Linked DNA regions of Styela clava. The protein of the gene in region 2 purifies or fractionates together with the protein of the main gene of each other region. This does not show direct contact. Links are inferred from orthologs where the notes say so. Each region holds a gene or a part of one and is shown on either strand. Other genes may lie near its edges.

Region 1 (7,311 bases), about 1.8 Mb from region 2:
TACGGTGGGATTCACCTCTAAATGTCAAAAAATAATGCCATAATGTATTTCATTTTATTGTGCGGAATACTCAAATTTTGGTTATCCTGGAATAAGCGCCCTTCACTTTTATGCTCTACCTTTCATGACCCTTTGTTGAAATGTTTACTTCATTCTGAGAACATATGATTGCCAAAGGAGTTTTTTCCCAAACATCAACATTACTTCCAAACTCCCCATTGAGTTAGTCTTCTCAATACTACAATGTGACTGCTATAATTGATATCTGCATCATTGCACCAATCTATATGTTACGTATCTTCCGGCAGTTTCACTTGGTCGCACAATTTTAACTACTTGTCCACGCTTCAATCCAAAATACCTAGCCACAGGATCACCACCCTGAATTCTAGGTAGTTGATGGTCTTTCAATTTATACCTAGCAAGAAGCTCCGCTTTTTCTTCAGGATTCAAAACGACATGCTCAGGAACAAGCTGTAAGAGAAGCATCCATATTATTAAAGGGAATGAAATATCACAACACGATTCGTTACAGACATATTCTAGCTAGAGTCTCTGATCACGTTATTGTCCCTGCCAGGTATCTTTAACTTGCCGGTTATAACCATGCCCAACTTGGAAGGGTAACGAAACACGAAAACTACACGACTATGGAGCTGCACTGGCATTCCTTCTCTCATGAGATAGCATTGACAAATTTTTCAGACATTGAAAACATATTTTCTGTCTGTCGCAAAATATTTCAACTTCTCCGCTTATATAAAAAAATGGGAATTTCCAATCAAGAAAATCTTAATTCCTCTTTTCAAATTACTTTCAGCTGATATGTGGCTTTCTAAAAAACAATTTCTTTGTAGCAAGTTCTCGATAATTCAGTTTCGAGGTTTTAGTATACCAACAACAACAATATTCAAATCCTAAATTACCAGTGTTGAATAGAACAGGATCAAGTCAGTAAAAATTTACTTGTGTCTCTAGCTCAATGATCCTGATGAATGAAAATCGTGAAGCGGTTATAAAAATAATGATTGCTAAATTGTCTACTTAATCCAAAATGGAAGGCGCTACGTTATAAACTACAATGGACACTGTCGCACCAACATCTGAAATTTAATGAATTGTGTGTTGTTGTTTCTATTTGGCTTCATTATGCTGGCAAAGCAATGAAATCTATCAATGCTACGATAGAAAACTAACATACTTGAAACCATTATATGATTAAACATATTCATGTGAGCTTTCTTTGCTGAAACGTAAGACACTCAAAAGCAGAAGACAACACACAGAAATAAATTTTGTGCAACAATAATTTTAATAGAATTCCAAGTAGCTAGCATCTTATATTATCAACAAAATATGCTGATCAGATACATTTGTTGCATTGTAACAATAAAATAACTCACCTCATGCTCAGTTATATTAATCAGCAGCTCTTGCTCAAGGAATTGTTCAAGAATATACTTAGGGGCCATATCAACCAGAGATTGTTTGGCAGACGGCGTCATTCCAGACTGAACAACTATGACTGCTCTTTGAATATTTTCTTCTTGCATTCTTTGACAATACATCTTGATATTTTTTATACCAACTTTAGGTTCCTCTGTGAACAGGAGAGCATATTAGAAAGCTTAATGACAAATCACCTATCACGCTACAGACCTTTTCAGTCACAAGACTGATTGAGGGTATGATTTTGTCTCACACTCATCTCGGGAGCTGTTTAAAAATAATAATTTGCAAATACACATAGATTTATGGGACATTTGGGCATACTTATGGGTCGTTGCTGGTATATGCCGCTATGGTGGAGAATAAATATATATAAATTCACACGTATTTGTATATAACTATTTTTAAGCAACTCACAAGGCATCTGAAAACCAGAACTCAAACTGTCTCATGCCCCCTAGTAGTAAGTAAAGTCTGTGGTTATATGGTACAAAACGTCTGTGAATGATATAATGATATGTAATCATACCTGGAAAAAATACAAACATCTGATCTGTAGGATCATCATTATGTGCAACAAGAACAGTCAACTCTTGTCTAGCTGGGTGCCTTTCACTTGGTTTGTCGCCAAATTCTTCTTTAAATTCTTCCAATGTTTGATCCAGTTCATGTTGAGTTACCAGGTATCCCCTATCATGACACAGCTAGAAACACAGCAGTTTGCGTCAAATTAAAAGGTTACTTTTACTTATACCCAGACTTTATTTGTTAACATTACTAGCAAATGAAGAATGAGCAAAATGAATATAAGAGATACAGAGCTTGAAAAGACGTAACATTTGTTGGGACTCGATGAAATAGACAAAATGTGCACAGTTTTTTTTCTCATACTGTCATACTCAATCAACAAATAATAATGCATGCATGTATTTGCCTAACTCTGTCCTGACTATGATTCACGAATCCCATATATCAGCGACTATTCATGCTCAAGTACTCAAACAATTTATCTTTTCAACAGTATTCAATATTATATTAAGAATGTTACAAACATATACTATGTGCAGGGTGTCTCAAGTCAAAAGTAAGTATACAGTTTTAATTTTGATTTGCTTTTCAGGTACTCATCATAGAGCGTTCATTTCTTCAGAAAACAGAGTATAGATAAGTAGTAAAATTTAGATATTGTTTGCATCTTCATCAACCTGTCAACCCACAGAATGACAATGAGGGATGTTGAAAAATGCAAACGATACCCAAGTTTTACTACTTATTCATACTACAGTACTACAGTACTATATTTCTGATATCTGGATATATGTATACCGTACCATATTATATCTTATCTACCTGCATCACTGTTTTTCGAATTCTCCATAGCCTGTATGTTTCCGATTCATCATCCATTACACAAGATGTTCAAAGTTACAATAGTCAGATAGTACCTTGAAGTAATATAGCAAGTAGGGTACCTTAGAGGCTGTTTGATAATAATTCTGGTATTGAAGTTAAAGTGTTAACTTACAGACTTAGGTTACTTTTTATGAAATGGCATATAAAGTCTGCAAAAACAGAAGCAGTAAGGTTATTGCCGGTACGGTAACTTCATGACATACGGTACCGGTATAGGATTTACAGAAATAGGATTTACATATTTTTCCGATGAGAGGAAATGCGATACGACTCAAATCATATGTTGAACCAAGGCCTCTCGTCCGGTTACCAGTCCATGCCAAGAACACTGCTGTACTGGAATAGGTTTAGTGTTTAGTCAGCCAGTTATTCAAGTTCTTATGCACAAACTTGATGGCGGAGGAAGCCGTAACTGACCAGCGGTTACCGTACGTGAATCACCTCACAGCCCTTTGCCCTACGACAGCGAGGAGTCCAGCAATCTAGAACCTTCGAATACCATACCGGTAGGCTGCAACGGCCGGCACCAACTTGCCTAATGTTCTGTGTATTCTGATGGCTCAGAAAAAAGCATCAAAACAATATTTTATGAAACCGATATTTTCTATTCCATGTCTGGATGCAAAATTAACATGAGCAAATGCCAAGCTTTGTACCTGGGGGGAAACAATCATTGCCAAAATTGTCCTATGAAAGATCGAGGACTTGAGTGGAACTCAAAAGATTTTAAATTGTTGGGTATTTTTATATTTGAAAATGATGCTGACCTTTATACTGTGAATATTTTGCCAAAACTCCAGTATAGGGCAACAAAGATTCGACCCTATCTGCGTGTCTACACTCCCGTGTTATTGAACACACGTTAACAGAGTGTAACTCCGATCTTGACTCCTTCAGAGGTCAAAAAGCACACAATGTATTGAATGCCAATTGTTATATTGTAAAGTTGCACAATCGAATTGATCCAAATAACGAATTACACTTGAAACCTTAAAGCAAGTATATGTGATGAAACCAAATTTCTAACTAACAAAGAACGGCAAAGACAAGCTACACTGAGCGAGAAAAATATATCATAAAGGAAATGAATTGGGACAACGACCTTGTTTCAGGCAAATAACATGCACTGCTAACAATAAGTGGTGAAAATATTACAATACACAGTAACTATTCTTATGTACTTGCTACACCAGAAAATGAAAATGATTGCACAATTATGGTCAAGAAGAAATCTTGATTTCCTTGAAAAAATTACGGTAATCAAACCCCTTATGTTGAGTACACTAGTATATGTATTATCCACCTTACCAATGAGACTTCCCAATAGTTTGTTCTATGGAAATGTATATCCATTTGGAATATTTATTAAAAACATTAAGTCGAGATGTTTAAGAGATACTCTGGGATGGGTTAATATGATAGATATTGAATCATTTTTTATTGGTCTTAAATTAAGATGGGTTAAATTTTTAGTAAATGATGAATTTGATGCTTCGTGGAAATCTATAGAATTTTTTTTTCTAAATTTATATGGAGGAATGAATTTGTTCTATGGAAATGTATATCCATTTGGAATATTTATTAAAAACATTAAGTCGAGATGTTTAAGAGATACTCTATGCTATTGGCATATTTTCAAATCTAAAGTTGTTACTGATGTAAGTCACTTGCATGAACCACTGTGGTTCAATAAAAAGATATCAAGTAAAGGGAAAATGTCATATATTGAAGATTGGAATAGAAAGGGTATTTGTTTCATTGAAGATATCTGTGATTCTAAACACCAAATTGCAATGTTTCCAATCATTTTTCATCATTATTGCTTTTCTGATTTTTATAATGACATGCAATCATATTTAAAAGTTTTATCATGTATACCCCAAGCATGGAAAAACATTTTAGTAAAAACCCCTCAAGCCAATCCACATCTTAGTCTATTGGAAGATATTAGAAGCATCAATAAAACTTCCAGATACATATATGATAAGCTTCGTAATGTAAAAATCTTGATGCCTAAGGAGAAAATAGAAAAATGGTCAAATGAACTGTGCAGAACTTGGATAATTGGTTGACGCAGTATGAAAAAGTTTTTAATTGCACTATTGAATCGAGACTTCGATCCTTCCATGTTAAACTTGCTTTGCGAGCAGTACCTACAAATGACCTATTATTTAGGATAAATAAGACATCAAGTCCGAAATGTACATTTTGTGAAAGGAATGTTGAAACCATGTTTCATTTATTTTATTTCTGTGAATTTGTGCAACAATTTTGGAAAATAGTTAATGCACGGCTAACTGTTGAATATGGTTTAAATCTTAATCTGACATATAGAGAAATTTTAATGGGGGTAGAGCAAAACCAAGGTATAAACTGTGTTTTATTGAGTGCACGATATTATATCTATAAATGTAAACTACGTAATGAAAGGCCTCAATTTGATCAATTTTTATATATGATAAAAAGTATATTTAACTGTGAAAAAATTATTGCAACTAGAAAATGTAAACTGTTGAACCACATTAAGAAGTGGAAAGTTATCATGAACTCATTTTTGGACACGTAGTGGACATAACGATCGTTTCAATATTATGTTGTTGTTGTTCTTGTTCTTGTTGTTGTTCTTGTTCTTTGACACGTTTTTAAAAAGTCGCTTTTCTCTTCGAATACTGGACCAATTGCTTTGAAATTTTCAGTGGTTGAAGATTAATTTTTTCGCTAGAAGGCTATTACTTTTGTTTATTCTTAAATTTTATATGAATCCTATGAGATATGATATTTCATACAAAATTTCGCGGTATTTATTTTTACTCATGGGAACACTGTTTTGCACTTATTTCAAGCGGTTTCGCGATCGATTGTCTTGCTCAGTACTACAGCTACTGTAGGTCGGTACTGGTAAGTTGCCATACCGGTGCCGTAACGCAGTGAAATTGACTTATTCCTTCCGCGGTATTACTAATGCTGCAATGCAAGTTTTATAGCCTATCGTATGCGGAACGGAATATCAGACCTACAGGTTCGGTACTGGTACTGGTGCCGGTACCGGTGTCTTACCACAATGAAATTACCGTAACTTATTCTTTCACGGTCCTACCAGTGCAGTAATGCAAGCGTTGTAGCACTTGTAGCCTACTATATTTGTTTATTTTGATGAGATTCTACTGGAAACAACATAAAATTTGAAAGAGAAGAATTGTTCTGTGATCAATTATCTGTCCTAAAGTGTAAATAACATAAAATTTGCAAGGGAACAACTGTTCTGTGATCAATTACCGTATATGGCCTACAGTGTACAGGTAAGATGCTGGCTGACTGCTAACCGGTACTGGTAGCTCAGTACGTAAGTACGATACTGGTACTGGTGCCGGTACCGGTGTCTTACCACAATGAAATTACCGTAACTTATTCTTTCACGGTCCTACCAGTGCAGTAATGCAAGCGTTGTAGCACTTGTAGCCTACTATATTTGTTTATTTTGATGAGAGTCTACTGGAAACAACATAAAATTTGAAAGGGAAGAATTGTTCTGTGATCAATTATCTGTCCTAAAGTGTAAACAACATAAAATTTGCAAGGGAACAACTGTTCTGTGATCAATTACCGTATATGGCCTACAGTGTACAGGTAAGATGCTGCCTGACTGCTAACTCAGTACCGCTTGACACGTTTTTAAAAAGTCGCTTTTCTCTTCGAATACTGGACCAATTGCTTTGAAATTTTTAGTGGTTAAAGATAAAAATTTTCTCCAGAAGGCTATTACTTCTTTTTTCGCTATGACGTCATCAAAATTATGTGACTCTACGTGTCCATATATTTGAGCATAGCTCTCTTGTTTTAAAGTGCAATTGTGTTTATGTGTTATATCGTGTGGATAAAAAGTGATGTTTTTAATAATAATAATAAAAAAAAAAAAACTTGCCTAATGTTAAACACATGGGCTTTGGTTAAACCATTGAGGTGTTATATACACCTCAATGGGTTAAACAAATTCGTGGACGCCATCTTGTGCCATATTTCCCAAACGCGAAACAATGCAGTCTTATGGGAAATTTTCGTCGTGTTGTTGTACCGAAGTCCGCTGTTATAAGGACTAGAAAGAAACTGAAGGGTGGATTTTGAACTTTGAGATATATGCTATCTGAATATATAACGCAATTAAGAATAAAAAACAATCTAATGCGTTAAATATGACCCCAAACACAGCGTAGAACCATTTTTGGTTCTTTTTTATAAAGATTTTACAGTGATACGCTAATCTGAGGCAGTAAAATGTCTCTGCAACAATCCTACAATATCATTTGTTCTTCTAGCGCAGCTTGGAGCCGAGCAGTAAGGCATTATTGAGCTTGACAGACGAAAAATGTTAACCAGAAAATAGAAACGGCCATTGGAGCACGAATAAATACAACTTTACATCTGTGACGTCATAAGGAACGCCATTGTCAA
Region 2 (7,066 bases):
CTCTTCTCTCCATAGTCACCCCCATCCATTTTATTTTCAAAATATAATGACCGCGAATCATTTCTTCTGGATGTTCAATAAACACTAAAAATTCAATTTACTTCCTAATCGTTAGTTACTTACAATCTGACCTATAGTTTCGGAGAGACAATGTGCTGATTGCCAGGATCGATAGTGGTCAAAAACAACGATTTTTCTAGAATTGCAATAGTTTTCAATATTTTGATGACTTCATCAAGTCATCGCTTACCACAAATCTGAAATTAGTTTGAATATCATTACTGAATATTATTGCTACTACTACTGCGCGAGTACTTTTGCGAATCCATCACAGTAATATTAACTTTTTCGTGCTTCCGTACGTGAATGATGTGTTCAAATTTTAGTATTGCAACATATTTGATATTTACAACATATTTACAAATTGATAAAAATAATCATTAGCAAGAACAACAACAACATGATCAATGCTCTAGCTAGATCTTGGATATGGACACGAAAGTCAAAATGAAGTAGTACCGGTATGCAATCTTTCACAGAGGACTACCGGTACCTCAGTCTTCACCACTGCGCCTGACCACCAGCTAGCAACGAAGGCAGACGCGGAACCGCCACAGGGTGCGCAATTTTTATATTTGATAACGTCATCGCACACACAAAACTAATCTTATAGAGTCCACAAAATATAGCCTTCTAGCGACAAATTCAATGTTTAACCACTGGTAATTTCAAAGCAATTGGTCCAGTAGATAATTAAAATAGCTATTTTTTTCTCAAGAAGTAAAGAATGATTAATAAGAGTAACAAAATGATCCATACCGGTATGTACATTTCGTGTACCACAAGGGAACTCCAATACATTGACACGAAAATCAAAACGAAGGGGCGCACTATTGCCGTTCGTTACTAATTACCATCCAAATCAACCAAACTTCGGAAAAATTTTCTCAAAATATCAATATATACTAGACAATAACGAAAGATTGAAAAACATCTTCCCTGCACCCCCCAGAATTGCCTACAGAAAGTGCCCGACATTACGAGATAAACTGGTTAGGGCCAAGCTGAAACCGGAATCACCAAGAGAAGTAGAAACAGGCTTTTTTAAATGCAACAGGAAATCATGCACTACCTGCAAATATTCAAAAGAAACCTAAACAAGCACTAGCAGCATCACAGGGATTCAATTAAGCAGCAATCCAAGAATTTCCCTGAAATTCGGAAAACGTCATATATCTAAGAACCTGTAAGAAGTGCGGTAAGCAATATATCGGCGAAACAGGCAGACATTTAAAGTACAGAATTACAGAACACATCAGAAGCATTAACCAAAAGAACAAAGATCTCGCAGTCGGCAAACATTTCAGTCAATTAGGCCATTCTATCAACGACTTTTTGGTAATCGGACTAGAAAAACTGTATCGAGATTAAGCATACCGACAAACAAAAGAACCTTATTTTATCAACAAATTCAAAACATTGGAACCTCTAGGAATGAATTTGAGAGATGGTTAAACTCCTGATTTATGTTAATTTGAACATTATATTCCGTTATGCGCTTATACTTGATTTTTATTCAACTTTTAAGTCATTATCTGACATTGTAGCCTTGACACTTACATGAACTCAACCAACGCCGCAGACGGAGTTACGGGAAAACAGCACGAAATTGTTTGCTTTACTTTTCAATTATTACTCACTACACTGTGGGATACTTATTGAGTACAATCCAAATCTAGCTTCCCTATTGTTCTGGCTCTCTCCCAATCTTAGTTATTTTTCTCTATCGGAAACAGACCAAACATTTGATACCATTATTTATGTGCATGCAATTGCGTTTCTTGTCATAGTTGTAAAATGCTTGTCTGAAGAAGTCTGACCTCGGTCAGACGAAACGTTACAGAAATATATTTGTGTAAGTGTGCAGCAAGACTCTTGAATTGAATAGAATAGGTATTTTCACTCTTGCTATAGCATCCTTGCGTTATACGCATACGGATCCATCTGCGCAAAGGCATAGAGCAAGGAAAGGTAGTTAGTTTCACGTAACCCCGATTGTTAGTTAAATAAACAATATGTAATTAAAATACGACAACTAAGTTCAGAAATTCTATTAGTCTTCAGGATTGGCTGTGGTATGCAGATTTAGTTAGTTTATGACACTTCAAGATGGAAATTTTTCTAGAAATTTCATTTTTTTATAAAAAAAGTTCAAAATCCAATTCAAAATAAAACGAATAGTATCGTGTGATGTATATATACATATATAATCAAGGATGTCAAAAAAGAATATTAAAACTTCATTTACTATGTTCACACCATAGCTTGAACATAATATAAAAGAATATGAGTGGTCAAATTTAATTATTATATTATTCCAAACACTCTCTGAAACCTATTCCAGTGTATTCAATTTCAAGGCTGGGTCATACATAAGAGGAGAGTTATTATAAATAATTAAAAATTACAATGTTATGCGGAATATCAACAGAACTAATATGATTCATTTTATTTTTGCAATGTAAGACCAGCACAAATACCCAGATGACAAATTGTAGATTTATATTTTTGATAGGGGTATGGATGTCCATAATATACCTACGTTAACAAAGTGAACCCCAATCTGAAATTCTCGGAAGTCAATAAGTACACAATAGGGTACTCCCGTAGTATGTGTACCAGATTAGGGTTAGACCATAATTTTATTTCGATTTTTTTATTATTTTAGTTCTATTACGAGTTCGGGGGCTGTCTGTGTTGGCCAAGTGAATATCCCCTGCCCATAGGTTTCAGTCCGAATTGATCCAAATAACAGACAACGAAATGCACTTAAAACCTCAACGAAAATATATGTGATGAAACCAAATTTCTCACCTAACAAAAAACAATAAAACAAAACGAGAATATCGGTCAGAGACCGAAGACTTATCGATCGAAAGTTAGGGGATCCCCAAAACAGCGATCTTACTCCATAATGACACCTTGTGTCCCATCACTAATTAATTGATAACTCGCTAATTATACGACATAAATCATCCAAAATCAAGCACATGCAAAATCTGGAGCAGATTCAATCTCGCCTCCGTGAGATATCACGTGCATCTAACAGGCAGACAGACAGACAGACAGACAGACAGACAGACAGACAGACAGACAGACAGACAGACAAATACCTATTAACATACTTGCCGATTAAAATCGATAAGTAACAAGCAACACTTGAGCAAGAGCGATACCACGTATTAGTAATAAGTCATCATGAAAATATTATAAATGCAATGAAATTGGAATTATGCGTCCAGTATCAACGTGGTTCAAAATACCAAATGATTCAAACTGCAGTATCAAATCTTTTGCAATACCGGTAAGTAGGCTACCTTCATCGTACCCCAAATTCCGGACATGGCTGAGCGCGAAATCGCTGAAATACAATTGCGAAAACCGCCACATGAGCGCATTTTTTTTTAAATTTTGGTCACGGCATCAAACAAAACTTCAGAGTGAAAAGCGAATCCCATTGAACCCACAGGAATTTGAAAAAAAAAAATGAACAAGAGAGCCATGCTCAAATATATGGACACGTCTGATTCACAAATGTAGTAACACAAGCGTTCCGAATCACCACTATATTATAACACTAGGTACCAGTACCGCGAAGTTCACCATTCCCCGCAAACAAATCTTAGCGAAGCGAGGATTACGTTCGCTTGTCAGCTGATATGCCTTTGCTTACATGCTAACTAACGAAACAATGTCTTCTGACCATTGATGAATGGAATATAACTGAAGATCCATTTCGTTGTTTAACGTACAGCACAATACGAAATAACCCTTTTTAATAGCCAAGCAAAACGGAAACGAATAACACGACACGACTTGCAACCAACAGGAGCGAGGTCCGGATGTTTTTTTTTTGCCGTCTAAAAATGGCGGCTTAAACATGTCACATGACCCGAGCAAGTTATCTATAGGAATAATTTTTTTGGGGGGTCAAAGGTCGGGGAAAGATTCATTGGTCCAGTAGTTAAATGAAATCAACAATTTTGAAAAAGATCATTAGGTCAATTTTGTGTCCACAATAAAACGACGACTACAAGACCTGCAAATCACGACGATTACAAGACCTGCAAATCACGACGACGGTGTGGCTCAACGGGCTAAATGTTAGGAATACGCTCGCAACCGCACCTCTAATTACTCTGCGTGGGTTCGCAGGTTCGAATCCCATGCAGGGATGGTTCTGTGCGAGAGGATTGCTGGACTCCTAGCCGTCGTTGGGTGGTTCACGTAACTAACCGCTGGTCGGTTACGGCTTCCTCTACTACCAAGTCCATGCTTCCGAAAACAAACAATACAGTAAAACTAATCCCATACCCGACTTGGAATGGTAACCGGATGAGAGGCCGTGGTTCGCCATATGGATACGCCGTCTTATCGGCTTTCCTCTCCCCCGGGATAAATATGTAAATCCTATCCTATCCATATAGTAAAAAATAATTCGAACCCTTTGACCTAGGTTGGGAAATCCCCCTTTTTGTTTTATTTCATATTATCTCCGTAATTGCCATCATTTTAGATTTCCTGGCTGCTTGATTAGAAAGATCATTATAATTATTATTATGGCGAGGTGAGTTTCAACTGCTTTTATTCATTTATATATATTATGAATAAATTTATTCATAAATATCGACAATCCAACGTGAGCTCAGTGTTGGATTTCGTGATCAAATTTATAACACCCATTTCTATTTTGACAATACGGCAATATTAATCTAGTTCATGTAATTCGATGATTGTAAACTGGTTTAACCGCCCAAAATCATCATTGTTAGTTTTTCATAAATGTGAAGAGCATGAAATACTGATTAAAAAATTTTTTTACTATCAAGATTTATTATTCATTGTGATACATTTTAACAGTCATTCTTCAATAAAAGAAGAATATGAAAAAAGAAAATTAGCAGAAAAACAAGCACATTCGATTGTAGAAAAACTCATCGAGGAAAAAGTTCAAAAAGATCAGTTTTTGTCCTGGGTATGCTTGAATTGAACTTATTTCACAACTTAAGTTTATCAATAAAAAATCATTTCTCTTGTATGACAGTATGATAGCACCTGTTATCCTTTAGATGTACTGATTTGAACTGCTCTAAATCTTTAATATAACGTTAACTCTTACAGATTTGTTTATGTTTCTACTCTAATCAAGCAGAAATAGGGGAAATATGCCGATGCTATGTTTAGGTAAAGGAAAGGATTTATTTTTGCTTTCTGTTTATCAATTGTCAAGCATCTATTTCCTATAGCAGTATAGTCTGAAAGCGAAGCACCCATGTTATATAAGGGTTGCACCCTTGTGAATACCAACATCCTGAATATATACTTTTGCACATGATAAATTTGAATTCTAAAATAAAATTCAATTAGTTAGGTAGGTAAATATTTTTATGAACATGATATGTAAAAACTTTATATACTATCTAATAATCAATCATAATTTAGATGGGTGATAATTTTAGATGTTTATATATATTAGTTTATATATACTAGCTGAAGTTGATCACCGGGCAACATTATACAGATGCTGTAGAAGAACGTTCATTATCCGACTTATGCGGTTATTGTCTATGCAAAAACAAGCTCAAAGAAGTTAGTGTATTGCTAGTTTTATTTTCTGTTTAAATTATGCATGCTTTCTTGTATATTCATGGTACATTAAACTCAAAATATTTTATTACACTTCAATGTGTGTCAGTGATTTCTTTTATTTCTGGGTATTTTGGATTAAAAGTACCAAAGGTCTTCTCCACAATAATCAATAATTTTCATCAGCAAATATTTTAACCTGTGTCAAACTTCAAAATTTAGAAGCCCGACCTAGTAATTTTTCGGCTTCTTGTTTTTGGTCTTAGATATTTTACTTTTCATCCATATGAACCTTATTTTATCTTGTTCTCTTATTGGTAATATAGAAAAAAGTGGCAAGTGTTTTTTGGATATAGATCAAAAGAAAAAGATGTTGCTTAGTAAAAAAAATCCTGAAAACGAAAACAAATATTAGAGCTAATGATGTTATGATCGTTATATATTTAGATATATTTCAAAACTCTGGAATCTGTGCCAAATTAAAAAAAATTTAGATGTCGAGAGATGGTAATCAATGTTGAAATTTCCGACTGAAAGGCATTAGGCTTATTAAGCATTCTGAACTGTTGAAAGTTCTTCAACCTATAGGCGGAGTGAAAAAATTTCGTCCAGTGTCTGGGGCTAAAGTTGGTCATTTGTTGATTGAAATTGCTTATTTTTAAGCATTGTTAAATAAATTGTTATTAACCATGCATTTATTGATTTCTTGATAACAATAGATTCCAACGCAGCAATATAAGATAAACAAGAACAAAGTGTTTGATATAACTGAAAGGAAGAAATTTTGTAGCAATCGGTGTTACGCAATATCATCCAATATACTAGAACAAATATCATCAACCCCATTGTGGCTACGAAATCATGACCTGTAAGTGTAGTTTCTCATTATTTACTGACATTTTTTTACCCTGTTTACCTCTGCTGAGTCCTATTAGCATTAATGGGAGTCACAGAACTAAAGATGGGCAAATAGATTAAAATCCTTTATAAACTTAACTCTGATTATTCTTCAATTATTGATTTCAAAGATTTATATTATTACTAATAATGTGTCTTGCATACAAAAAAATGAATTACCGTAAATTAAATAGCCTACATTGAAGAAAATAACAGATTTTTGATGACACACATGTGACATGAATATGAATGAGCCTTTGACTTCAGTTTTTAAAATTATCTATGTATTATCTCTTTGATATCAATAACTGTGTGAAAATGTATTCTCTTTCAACCTATATCAGAAAGTTGTTTTGTGCATGAAATGAACAAAAAGTCATTTTTGTCTAGATAGTTTCACTTTAGTGTTATAGTCTTCACTCAGAGTAAGGCTCTGTCACAGGAACCGTTATAATTTCTTAATATTCTCTCTTAACATTCAGAATGCCAGATATCACAATTCCAAATATTGATAAATCAACTG

What was found. Proteins that work in one complex are often made in the same cells at the same time.
Region 1: the proteins of putative RNA polymerase II subunit B1 CTD phosphatase rpap2 (region 2) and DNA-directed RNA polymerases I, II, and III subunit RPABC1 purify together in Homo sapiens (affinity purification with mass spectrometry; 4 studies listed by BioGRID and IntAct, counting the BioPlex papers as one, with this or other methods). This does not show direct contact. The link is inferred for Styela clava from reciprocal best matches to the Homo sapiens genes RPAP2 and POLR2E.

The regions. Positions count from the first base shown.
Region 1 is NC_135259.1:2,953,933-2,961,243, reverse strand, and holds DNA-directed RNA polymerases I, II, and III subunit RPABC1, read right to left. Parts: upstream 3,028-7,311; 5' UTR 2,857-3,027; coding exon 2,800-2,856; intron 2,154-2,799; coding exon 1,979-2,153; intron 1,601-1,978; coding exon 1,404-1,600; intron 475-1,403; coding exon 271-474; 3' UTR 41-270; downstream 1-40. UniProt on the Homo sapiens protein: DNA-dependent RNA polymerase catalyzes the transcription of DNA into RNA using the four ribonucleoside triphosphates as substrates.
Region 2 is NC_135259.1:4,731,315-4,738,380, forward strand, and holds the start of putative RNA polymerase II subunit B1 CTD phosphatase rpap2, read left to right. Parts: upstream 1-4,041; 5' UTR 4,042-4,142; intron 4,143-4,576; 5' UTR 4,577-4,619; coding exon 4,620-4,627; intron 4,628-4,920; coding exon 4,921-5,035; intron 5,036-5,550; coding exon 5,551-5,649; intron 5,650-6,365; coding exon 6,366-6,514; intron 6,515-7,025; coding exon 7,026-7,066.